Neurospora crassa OR74A: one gene and its partner. The main gene of each other region encodes a partner of the protein of the gene in region 2 in a complex. Links are inferred from orthologs where the notes say so. Each region holds a gene or a part of one and is shown on either strand. Other genes may lie near its edges.

The links.
Region 1: NCU02121 (region 2) and hda-3 share a complex: the UniProt entries of both Saccharomyces cerevisiae proteins name them as parts of the RPD3C(L) complex. The link is inferred for Neurospora crassa OR74A from reciprocal best matches to the Saccharomyces cerevisiae genes CTI6 and RPD3.

The regions. Positions count from the first base shown.
Region 1 is NC_026501.1:7,045,808-7,051,816, forward strand, and holds hda-3 (histone deacetylase RPD3), read right to left. Parts: upstream 3,510-6,009; 5' UTR 3,066-3,509; coding exon 2,853-3,065; intron 2,790-2,852; coding exon 2,489-2,789; intron 2,421-2,488; coding exon 1,879-2,420; intron 1,828-1,878; coding exon 907-1,827; 3' UTR 222-906; downstream 1-221. Other genes in the region: rpn-11 (26S proteasome regulatory subunit RPN11), read left to right, coding at 4,164-4,229, 4,334-4,587, 4,649-5,345. UniProt on the Saccharomyces cerevisiae protein: Catalytic component of the RPD3 histone deacetylase (HDAC) complexes RPD3C(L) and RPD3C(S) responsible for the deacetylation of lysine residues on the N-terminal part of the core histones (H2A, H2B, H3 and H4).
Region 2 is NC_026501.1:1,173,125-1,179,045, forward strand, and holds the start of NCU02121 (transcriptional regulator), read right to left. Parts: upstream 3,383-5,921; 5' UTR 1,945-3,382; coding exon 1,352-1,944; exon of another isoform or gene 1,180-1,351; coding exon of another isoform or gene 1,169-1,179; coding exon 869-1,168; intron 816-868; coding exon 571-815; coding exon of another isoform or gene 520-570; coding exon 1-519. Other genes in the region: NCU10232 (hypothetical protein), read left to right, coding at 5,663-5,921. UniProt on the Saccharomyces cerevisiae protein: Component of the RPD3C(L) histone deacetylase complex (HDAC). Responsible for the deacetylation of lysine residues on the N-terminal part of the core histones (H2A, H2B, H3 and H4).

The DNA of each region.
Region 1 (6,009 bases), about 5.9 Mb from region 2:
TCTAAAGTAGTAATGTGGATATGCTAAACACCAGCTGAACTCTTTGCTGTACGACTCGAGGATTTGCCATAATTGGACCCGTCGGGGTTGTTGATCATTTCTCAGAAGTCTTTGGCGCCATTGAAAGTTGCTTTTCAGCTGACGGCTAGATCAAGCAATCCAGATTGGCTGGCACCAGAATCTGGCAATCCCACTCAAGGTATGCGTTGGTACCAAACATACTGTAGATAACTCCTGCATACCCCTACGTACGTGTGAAGTAATGGAGGTTGTGTATGTACACTATTCTAGAGTCCAAGGGTCCAGTCCCTCGTTCTCCGGATAACGAAGGTTGAGGAAACGCCCCAATAAAGAAGCCGCTAATAGGAACTGGCGGGGATAAACTGCACGCCCGATTGGACTTTGTCCTGATCCGCAGGGCAACCCCGCATGATACAACGCGATGTCTGAAGTGGAGGCCGGGGCATCTTTGGCGATCCAGGATCAATCAAGCTCTTCAGGAGACGAGGGTGAGGGAAGTGGCACAAGTTTAATCAAGCGTTCACCACTTAGTGAACATCCCTGGCTTCCAAACCACAATCACATATCAGCAAGCCATGTTTAGCTAAAGTCACCTTTATTAGACGCTTAACTTGTAGAAACTTTTCCGAAACATGGAAAAAGAAAAGAAAAGGAAAAAAAAAAAAAGAAAAAAAAAGAAAGAAAAAACACAAACAACAAAGAGCCTGGATGTAATGTGGGGGAATCATTGAAAACAACATTTTCCTCGTCACAACACCCCTAAATCCCCAAACGCCAATGCCAATCATGCTCATGGGATAACACAACTGAAATTTGCCGACGTACTCAGGGCCCGATTAGTCCGAGCTATCAGACGTACTGAGTGTTTGTTCGGGGGGTTGCGTCCTATTCTTGAGGCTTATCGGCCTCCTTTTCCTTGTCATCTGTTGTTGCTGCCGGTGCCTTGTCGGATGCCTCCTCGGCAACCTTGCTTGGCTCTTCTGCCACTGGCTTCTCAGTGTTGGCGTCTGGTACCGGCGAGGCGGCCTTGGGAGAGGCTGCTGCTGCTGCTGCTGCCTCGGTAGCAGGCTCCGCAGTGGCGGCGGCGGGACTTGGCCTGCGCTCTGCCTCCGGCTCCGGAGCAGGGGCAGTCTCGATTTCCTCGGTCTTGATCTCCGCCTCAGGTTCTGCAGGCTTCTCATCGGCCTCGCCCATATCCACATCGCCATCTTCGTCAACTTTGGCCGCAGAGCTTACTGCAGGCTGCGCGGCTGTCGTTGCGGGGGCTTCGGCTTCAGGTTCAGCGGCGGCCGGTTGGGCTTCGTCGTTATCGATCATGGTCTCATCGTTGTCGACAGCAGTAGGCTCCGCTGGCTTAGCGGCGGCCGCGGCGGCGGTGGCGGCAATCGAGGGCGGAGCTGGTTCTCCAATATCAAGATCCATGTCCTCCACGGCCTTGGGGTTCTTGAAGTCGAGAATGGACCGGCGCTGCGGTCCGTTCGGCTTGAACACACCATTGGCTTGAGCCATGTCCTCGTCATCACTTTCTTCAAACTCGTCTTGCCTAGCTCTCTCCTTCTCCCATTGACGCTGTGTCCGCCGGACATCCTTGTTCTCGTCCTCATCCATGTCGTCAAGCTCGTCTTCCTGATCGTCTGACATACCGAAGCCCTGACGCGGAACGTCCTGCATCTGGACAGAGGGAACTGGGGCGGTCTTCTTCAGGTTTTCTATCACTGATATCTTGATCTTCTCCAGGTACTCTGGGCTGTTGGCGTTCTCCATATTGGAAGAACGCACATCAAGCTCGTAGTCGGGACCGTAATACTAAGAGTTTGTTAGCAAGGCGGCAAGCCATAATGGAACTAATCCACTTACGTCGTAGTACTCGTTGTAAGGAAGGACTGGGTTCATCTCAACACCAACCAAACGGCCGGTTTCGTAGGCCCAAGTCCTTGCGACGTTGCGCATGGTGTAGCCACCTCCGCCGAGAACCAGAGTGGGTAGTCCAAAGCTCCGCACGTAATTAACGCAGTTGGCATGGCCACGCATGCTCAAGTTAAAGCAGCCAAGACGATCACCGGACAAACTGTCACCACCGCATTGGAGGACAACAGCCTCAGGTTGGAAGTATTGCATGACAGCGCTAATGACGGGCTGGAAGATGGAGCTGTAGGTGGTGTCGTCAATCCCATCGCGGAGGGGGAAGTTGACGGCATAGTTCTTGCCGGAACCGATACCAATGTCGCGCAACTCGCCGGTACCGGGGAAGTACTCGCCGTACTTGTGGAAGGATACGGTCATGACGCGATCCGTCGTGTAAAAGGCTTCTTCGACACCATCGCCGTGGTGCACATCGATGTCAATGTAAAGAACGCGCTTCTTGAAACGCAGGAGCTCTAGGATAGCCAGGACGATATCTGTTCGGTGTAGTAGGTAAGCATGGGTGGCGTCGTACGGGTTCCAGGAAATTGTGAAGGCCACATACCATTGACATAGCAGAAACCGCTAGCCTCGCTCTTCTTGGCGTGATGCAAACCACCGGCCCAGTTGATGGCGATGTCGCACTTGTCCCTATTCAAGCGAGCGGCACCCTCCATACTTCCGCCGGCACTGATGCCGCAGAACTCAAACAGGCCGTCGAAAACGGGACAGTCATCGCCAACATTGTACTTGCCCTGCTCGCGCATGAAGCCGTCCATGTTGTCGGGGGTAACCTTTTGTAAAAACTCAATGTACTCGTCGGTGTGAAACTGTGTCATTTCGGCAGTAACGGCTGGTTTTGCACGCTAACACAGAGAGGGTCAGTTTGTCGTTGACCAAGGCCAGTACCCCCAACACAGCAAACTTACGTAGACCTCGAGAAACTTGTACACGTTGTAGTTCATGACCAGACTGTGGGCAAGACGGATACGATGGGGCTTCATAGGATGGCCGGTCACGTAGGCATAGTTGCCAATGTCGGAGTCGTAGAAGTAGGCGACCCGCTTCTTGTCATTGTGGACGACGGTATACAACGGCTCGTCACGCGCGACTCCGGCGGGATCGGTGAATGTGGAAGGCATGGTGGGCAGATGTTGCCGGGTTGCCCGTTGTGTTGTGTTGCGTTGCGTTGGCGGATACGGAGGACTATTGCGGTACAATCCGGATTGTGGGTTGGATGGTGTGTGTGTGTGTGTTGTGGTGGTGGATATCACGTCCAAGTATGTAGAAGTTATCGCTGACCGGGAGACGCTGGGATGGGAAGGACCCCGTCGTGAAAGGAAATGTTCAGGGTCGCCGGGCTGAATGGGGGAAACACGTGTTGAGGTTTCGTGGTATTGATAGAATGACAAAGTATGATATAGAAATATCCCCGTGATGTGGCAAATCACCTGGGCGGTATCGTCATGGCTTGCCAGCAACGAAAAGAAAGATGGTGTTTAGTTCGAGCTCGGTTCCTGACGCCGGGGTGTCTGTCACTGAGTGGCAGAATTGCTTGTACGAGCCACGGCACAACGCTGAGGTCGGTGCGTGAAGCCGTGGGCGGACAGGCGGGGGAGAAAGCGCAAGCACCAGCAACCCCAACGGGCGAGTGGGGTATAATTGAGCTGTTCTCCATTCTCCAATAACTTTAGTAACCAATCAGAAAACGGATTGTGCACCTGACGTCCTGTCGGCAGGCAACGTCGAACCTTCCAAAAAAGCGCCAATACTTATGAAGTCAACCGCTTTGCCTGCCGATTTGCAAACCAGATAAGATTATGTAATCCACAGCTTCCAGCTCAAGGGAACCTTCCGTCACCGGGCTGGCCTGCAGTGGACTTTGTGGCAGTTGGCGTTGCAGGCTGCCACAGCTTGTCGTCAACGCCGCCGCCAGCCAGCTGCGGCAAGCTCCCCATAGGTGCTGCATGCTCCATGCTCCAACCTGACGCGGTAGGTAGGTAGAGAGGTACTCAACCCACCAACCTAAACAACAAACCGCCCCGTCTCCCGTCTTGTCATCGACGACATCCCACTTCGACTTTACAACGAAACCGCCACCGTTTGCATCGCAACCCTCCATATACTTCTGCGCGACGTCATTACACCCGAGGAACGACGCCGATATTAATTTCCAACACCCCCGTCACACAGCTACGTCAACATAATACACTACTCTCCAACCAACAAACACATTCAAGATGGATCGCATGCGCAGCTTGTTGGGCGGCGGCCTGGGAATGGGCGGTGCCACTGCGCCAGGAGCCGTATGTTTGTTCCCATTCGCAAATTGAACAACAGAACCGCAGGCTTGCTTGGTCTGGCGTGAAGGTGACAAGGGCATGATGCTAATGTGCTGGGTTCTGGTCAGGACAACACCAACCTCATCGACAACTCGGAAACCGTCTACATTTCCTCCCTAGCCCTCCTCAAGATGTTGCGCCACGGTCGCGCTGGTGTGCCCATGGAAGTCATGGGCCTGATGCTGGGCGAGTTTGTCGATGACTTTACCGTTCGCGTCGTCGATGTGTTTGCCATGCCCCAAAGCGGTACTGGTGTCAGTGTAGAGGCTGTCGACCCCGTCTTCCAGATGAACATGATGGACATGCTCAGGCAAACGGGAAGGTGAGAGGATACTCAGCTCAACTTGACCTTTCACCACCCACTAATGTATTTCCCTTCGCAGGCCCGAGGCCGTCGTTGGCTGGTACCACTCGCATCCCGGTTTTGGCTGCTGGCTTTCGTCGGTTGATATCAACACCCAACAAAGTTTCGAACAACTCAACTCCCGTGCGGTCGCCGTGGTTATTGACCCCATTCAGTCCGTCAAGGGCAAGGTTGTGATTGATGCTTTCCGTCTCATCAACCCCCAGTCGCTCATGCTGGGTCAGGAGCCCCGCCAGACGACATCCAACTTGGGACATCTCAACAAGCCTTCCATCCAGGCCCTCATCCACGGCCTGAACAGGCACTACTACTCGATCGGCATCAACTACCGCAAGACCGCCTTGGAGGAGAACATGTTGATGAATCTGCACAAGCACGTTTGGACCGAGGCCCTCGAAATGGAGGACTTCCGCTGCGAGGGATCGAGGACGAAGGAGAGACTCGACCGCCTGGTTAGCCTTGCTGACGGCTACGAGAAGAGAGTCAAGGAGGAGACAGAGTTGACCAAGGACCAACTCAAGACACGCTATGTTGGCAAGGTGGATCCCAAGAAGCACTTGGAGGATGTCGGACAGCAACTGATCGAAGACAACATTGTTGCCGTTACAAGGCAGATGATCGACAAGGAGGCGACCATTGCGAAGAAGGATACCCCCGCTGGGGCCAATGGCACCACACATGGCGACCAGATGGAGGTCGAGGAGGAGCAGCTATAGGTACCTACCTAACCAAAAGGACAAGCATGCATGACGTTTTTTCTTTGCAGGCGCATACCTCCGACTTGTGATTTTGTATGACTAGGCGTTAGGTATAAGGATGGGCAGCTAGACCGGTAGCCATGTTCAAGATTCGGTTTTCCTTTTCAGTGAATGGGGTTGTCTGTTCAGGTACAGACCTGCAGTGACTGGTTTACGGGTTCGTGGCTAGTGGTGTAAGTGACATCAATTTCTCTTTGTTTCCGATTCTGTACCTGAGTTGATGCCACAGGAATGAGTGCACCACGTCTTTGTGCGCGGAAAGGTGTTCTTGGTTACACACCATTGTCCTTTGACAGATGCTCTGCACAGCGTTGCCATGCCCATAATTGCATTGTTTACTTGTGGTGTTCGTGACACAGGCTCGTCTCTTGGAGGCTTCTCATCCGAATATAAATGTCGAAGAACCTCTCACACTTCCAAATGCGTTCTGTTTGTCATCCACAAAACACCTACAGTCATACAACAACATTGGACCACTGCCAACGACAAGTCAAGATGGGTTTTACAGCTTACCTGAAGACGATCCTCAGCGATTTGTTGCGCGGTCCGCAACCCAACAAGAACCAACATGCTCAAAGACACGGTAACAAAGCCAGCGGCCGCAATGGCAGCCGGAAAGGAA
Region 2 (5,921 bases):
GCTCAACTTGGGTTCGCGAAATGAAGTCAAGGAGTGCTGCGGCCCTCCTCTTCATGTCAGTCATGGTGATCTTGCTGTTCATCCCACCCTTATTCTTCCCTTGTTTTCCGTGTCCAGTAGCCTTCTCTTCGGCCTTACTTGGCTTCGGAGGAGGCGGTACTTCAGCTGGTGCCTCCCCTGACTGTGATCTTGCAGGCGATGGCTCGTTGTCATCACGTGTGTATTGATTGCGACCCTTCTTCTTATGTGATCGCTTCTTCTCAATCTTGGCTGTGGGAGTAGCTGCAGCGGGAGGGTCTTCCGGAGTGGACTGTGAGGCAGGAGGGGGTTCGGGTACCGCTGGTGATTGTTCTTCTTGTTCTGCCGGTTCTTCCGCAGCGGCAGGGGTAGCCATAGTAGTGGTAGTAGTAGTCGTTGTAGTGGTCACGGCGGTGGCGGCTGCGACCGGTGTCGTTGTAGCGGGCGTCTTGTTCACTGCCGCACGAGCTGCTAGTGGTAACTCGTCCGAAGGGTCTGAATCTGTATCTGTGTCAATTCCAGATGCCTTCGCGAGAGTCGTGGCTTTCGTACCATCAGCTCGCCGGCGCTCAGCTCTACCCTTTCGCTTGTTTGCTGCCTCAGCCCTTTGTCGTTCGCGTTCTTCTTTTTCAGTTGTCTTCTCGGTGCGCAGAGTGCGGCCTGCTACGCCGCCCCGCGATCTAGACTTTGCACCATTCCGCGTTGTTGTGCCGGCGTCGTCAGAGTCCTCAGTGGTCTTGTCAAGGCTAGGAGAGGCCGATCGAGAGCTCGTCCTCTGCCTCTTGTTTTCTGACTTTCTTGAAGAGGGTTAGCGGTTATTGATGTCGGGCAGCGTAGGACGTGGACCTACTCTTCGCTATCGCTTCTGCCTCGCTTTGTTCTTCTCGTGGTAGTTTCGGGTTGTTCAGAAGCTGCATCTTCTTTGCTTGCTTCAATCGCCCGTCTCAGGGCTTCAGCTTCGTCGTAGTCAGCGCCTCGGCTGTTCATTGTAGATCTTCGCTTCGACGCGGAGGAAGTGGTCGTACCACGTCCGTTGCGGCCCTCCGGTTTATCTTTGGGCGGTGATCTCGTGCCATCCTTGTTGAGAGAGGCGGATCTAGAAGTGGTTCGAGAGGGGCGCTTAAGGGGTAGGTAGTGCGAATAGCGTTGTCTGTGAATCATGTCGTCAGTCGACTGGAGAGTGATTTGACAATTGTCGTGGATGGAGGAGGATATTGCATGAAAGGTGAGGCAACGTCAAAGGCGTGTGATGGGCTTTGACGCACTCCAGCTGAACTTTTGACGTTCAGCTCCCGACCATGCAGCCACGGGACCAAAGAAATGCAAGATTTACCCGTTGCTCGCTGTGAAAATTTTGTGGAATTCTTTGCGGCACTCTTCGCAGAAATATTCGTCTGGGCTTGACTCTTCGGTCATAATGCCAACGCAGGCGCCATGTTGCCAGACCTTGCAAATGTCGCATTGTACGAAAAATCCGGCCGCATCGTCGGTGACATCGGTCGCGAATATGGGATCGATATCCATGCCGTCCTTCAAGCCATGCTTGGAGTCTTCGTCAAACGGCGGAGGGCCTGGGTAGTCCTCGTAGCCGCAAATGCAACGAACGGCCTCGTCCTCGTCTTGAGCGTCATCGTCGCCGTGTGCCATTTCGACCTGCTCAGACTTGTTATTTGCCCTCTCTCTTTCTTCCTGCTGACCGCGGGTACGACGCCGGGTACCAAACGAGTCGTCCGCTGTAATTGTCTCGTCTGGAGCCTCAGAGGATAGCGATCCCGAGGAGCTTGACTTTTGTGGTGAGACAGCTTTGTTGAAATACCTGGTGCTGCGCTCACCACGACCTGACGTGCTGGACGTGCTGGACGAGATTTGCGATTGTGATTGGGAGGTTCGCGCTCTTGACGACCGCCTCGGATCGGACCCTGCCATTGCTTGCAGCTGGGGCCGCAGTCAAGGCAGGAGCTCGAAGTATGTAGGGTATATAATCGACACGATTGGTGTCGAAGAGAAGAACGCGATCCGCAGGCCCGTTGGGAGGGGGTTCTGCGGTCGGGTATCCGGAGTGCCTGGGGACAATGACGCACCCTAGCACTAAAACAATTTCGTTTTACTTGAAGCTCGACAATTGCGATGTGGATGGTCGGAGAAGTAATGGGGCGTGATGGCGGGAGCAGACCCGAATCACGCGGTCGTCTGTCGATGTGGTCACGGAGAAGCGAGGACTCGACGAGGCCGAGTCTCGACCGCAAATTGAATCTGACACAATCGTCGAGTAAAGATGCAATCGAAGGTGTCGAGGTTATGAGACTCGTGCTAGGTTCGAATCGTAGCTTGAAGCCGGTGCTTGGTGGTAGAGAAGCGTAAATTATCGAGGATGGATCGACCGACGGCGGAGGATCGCGAGGGCTCAGGTCGAAAATCCAGCCAAGTGAGGAGGGTGCTCGATCGGGGGCGTGCTCGAGATGAGGATGTCGCCGGCTTGCTTGTGTAAATGTCCACGAAAGCAAGACTCGTTCGCTGCTAACTTGGGTAAAAGATTGAGCGGGTACGAGGGTGGGAAAAAAAACGAAGAAGAGGGGACGGAGGACGGCGAGACGAGATGTCTATGACGGGATCCGAAGTGCTGGCTACGCCAAATTGGAGATCGGGGAGCGGTGGTCGACGTGGTAGGTGGGTGGTAAACTATTTCTCATGACGGAAATAACAAAGTTCGACAAGTCGGGTTTTCGTGTCTGTGGCCCAGGGTGTACGTGGTGAGGATTTCCAGAAAAGAGGAGAGCGAGGACGGCACTGCCTGGAAGGAGGAAGCGATGGCTGGTCTCTCTTGGTGTGTGTACAATGGTGGAAACCGAGCCCGGGACCTAGTCGAGTTGCCAGCCCCAAAAAAGACGGGACCACCGCACCGCACCACGGCACCACGATGCACCACCACCACCACCACCACCACCACCACCAACCCGACACGGCGCTCTTGCAGTTGCTTGCAGTAAATTTTGGCAGAAAGCTGTCCGCCCGGGCACCCACTCTGGCTGCCGCCCACCCACCCACCAACCCCGGTCTGATCCCGTCCGTCACTCAGGCACCTCCTCACTCCTCCTCACGGTAGCGGCAGTGGCAGCGCCAAAGCGTGCGGGGCCATCTGGAAGCTCGGTCCCCATGTTGACCAATCCGGTGCCGGGAAAAAGATAATGGGCCAGCTCGACCAGGATATCAATGATCTCTGGGATGCGGCGTCGAAAGCCGGCTTGTCGATGCTGTTCAGTTTCCAGAGACGAGTAGATATAGTTTGATGTAAGAAAGTCGTATGCATAGGTATGTAGAGGCCGTAGAGTGGTGAATTACTGGTACCGTCCGTCGGGGAGGGTTCGTGCTATGACATCACGCCTCAATAGGTGAAGCCCGTGTCCAACCTGGACCGACAAGAGAATAAGGGGCATCTTGAAAACCGAAAAGGGTTTGAAGTGAAATGTGGTTCAAACAAACATCGATGGTGGAAGACAACGAAACTCGTTGTTGCACACAAGGGGAAATTATTTGGGGTAATGGGAACCTGAAGGGGAGGCGGGGGTTCGGTTCATTGCTCGCTGCAGGTCGGGTCTGGTTCAGGTTGTTGTCGAGTTGAGCAAAGCTTTCCAAGTGAAATTGCACCTACCGTCGTCGAATGGGTCTCGTTTGCTTCTCAAAGGGAAAATGGCAGTACATGGTGTTGTCAGGGCGGCATCAAATCAGATGCAACTACCTATGAATGGCACCGGCACCGCAGTGTTCTGCCTGTGATGGAAAACGCTTGGCTCTTGCTCGAATACTGTACTAGTACTAGTGTAAGCACAGTGCGTCCGGCATTCAGGAACCGCCGCCCACAACCCGGCCTCCATTCAGGTCGCTTTCAATGTGAGTGTGCACGGCGATGATTATGGTAAGTAGAGACAGAGAGACTTGCCCACCCAGAAAGAAGCTCGGTTGCTGGGGAAGTCAAGCCAAGGTACACTAGCTGGTACCTAGAGGTAGTTAATGGGTCAACATCAGTCGACTCGGTACTTCCCCATGATCTTCCAATTGGATTTGGGAAATCGAAAAACGTACAGGTAGCTCAGTACAGTAGCTAGAGAGGTCACGGTATGGAAATTCAGCATCTCACTTGGGGCTGTTCCTTGGAGTCTCCAGTAGTGTACCCGTGGGAACACCAGTATGCTCGACGGTTCGTGATTGCTGTCGGCCTCTAGGGTATCATTATTGGGTGATCTCTCAGTTTCCGTTGATCTCTCCATGTTGGGGAGAGACCCAATGCCATGCGTGAGGCTATTCACTCGGATGGGAACCGGAAACCGAATGGAGGCTCCCCCGGCCGGGAACTACAAGTGGAAGGCGGGGGCGGAACAGCGGGTGTACTTCTAGGTTCTGGCAGCATGGCAGGCAGCGGCATTGGGTCACCGACCTCTGGCTGCCCTCTCCTCAGAATCACAGCCCGAAACCCGCGCTGTCCAGACGACCAACTGCAGTGAGGTGGTTAAGGACGGGATGCTTACATAATGCAGCCAAGGGTGCGTCGATTAGGTCCCGCCTACCATCCCGCCCGCCCTCACTACAGTGAACACCCGCTTCTCCTAATCACAACCACTGAACTCCATTGCTTTCCACCCCTCAACACCACTGCACCGATACACGACACCCGTCTCACTGACTCGGGCAAAGTGCTGGTTTGAGTTGGCTTCTTTTGTTTTGGCCTTCCTATAGCTCTCCCCCGAGTTTGCCTGCAACCTGGCCACCGGATATCCGCACGAGCCAGATTCGAGCCAAGAAGGTGGGTGCTTGTGATTAGCAGCTGATTGTCCCCTCAGTTGTATGGCTTCATTTCCCCCCCCCCCCCCCCCCCCCCCCCCTCCCCCTTCTCGCCGCCTTCCCCGCCATGCTGTTTCATTTGTCCCTTGGTGTGGTATCCCGACGATTCAGGAAGTTCTTGCTATGATAGACGATGCGGTGGCAACTTGGGGAGAAAATATTTCATCTACCGGTCCAGGCATAAACAACGAGAACACAACTGCCATGGCGTTTCCCCTCCTTTTCCCAAGGCTTCGGTGCTGATGAGTCTTTTTGGGCAGAAAGGGATACATCCAAAGCGACGTCGGCGCCTTCGTTTCCTTCCACTTGTATTCCCAAGGTGTTCTCCGGATCACAGAACTTCCACAATCATACGGATTATAGCAGCCTGGGAATCCCCTCGGGTTGACGCATATTCCGTGTGAAGTGCCTCGGCGGCTGGCGCTCCTTCGAAAGTTGATAGCATCTTGTCTTGGGTACTATGTAATATCCTGAAGGTACGTTCGTAGGCACGCGCCTTCCACGTTGCGATTCTTGGATTTCTTTCCAAGGCCACTTCACAGAACTACGCGGCATGAACAAACGACCTCTTCTTCAGTCGAGTCCGCCCAAGTCCCCTCCCGTCCTAACCCCGCGCCTCTCTTCTGTCCTCGCCCTGCACTCGGCCTTTCTTCTCGTCCCGCCATTCTTTTGTTGTTGCTGTTCAGTCAGTGTGGCACCAATGCTAGCCTTCTTAAATGACTTCTTCCCAATCATCAAATGGCTTTCATTGCTGTTGCTAATTCGTTTGCATTTGGCTTCTGACAGAGCACACGAGCAAGTCACAAGAATGTCCTCCGCCGATACGGTGTCGGTGTCGCCCGCATATCGAAGCGAACGGAGAATCCATCCACTGCCCAAGAGATCACTCAGAGACCGTTTAACCCCCGAAGCCGCGGAGTCGATTCAATACCCCCCAGCTCCTTCGATCTCTACGTCCTTGTTCCCGAGTCTGTATAGTATCCGAGATGACGAACCAGACCAGACTTCGACTCCCCCTCGCGAGCGACTCACCGAGGCTGCCCCGCGCCAGTCAAGAAGAGATGGTC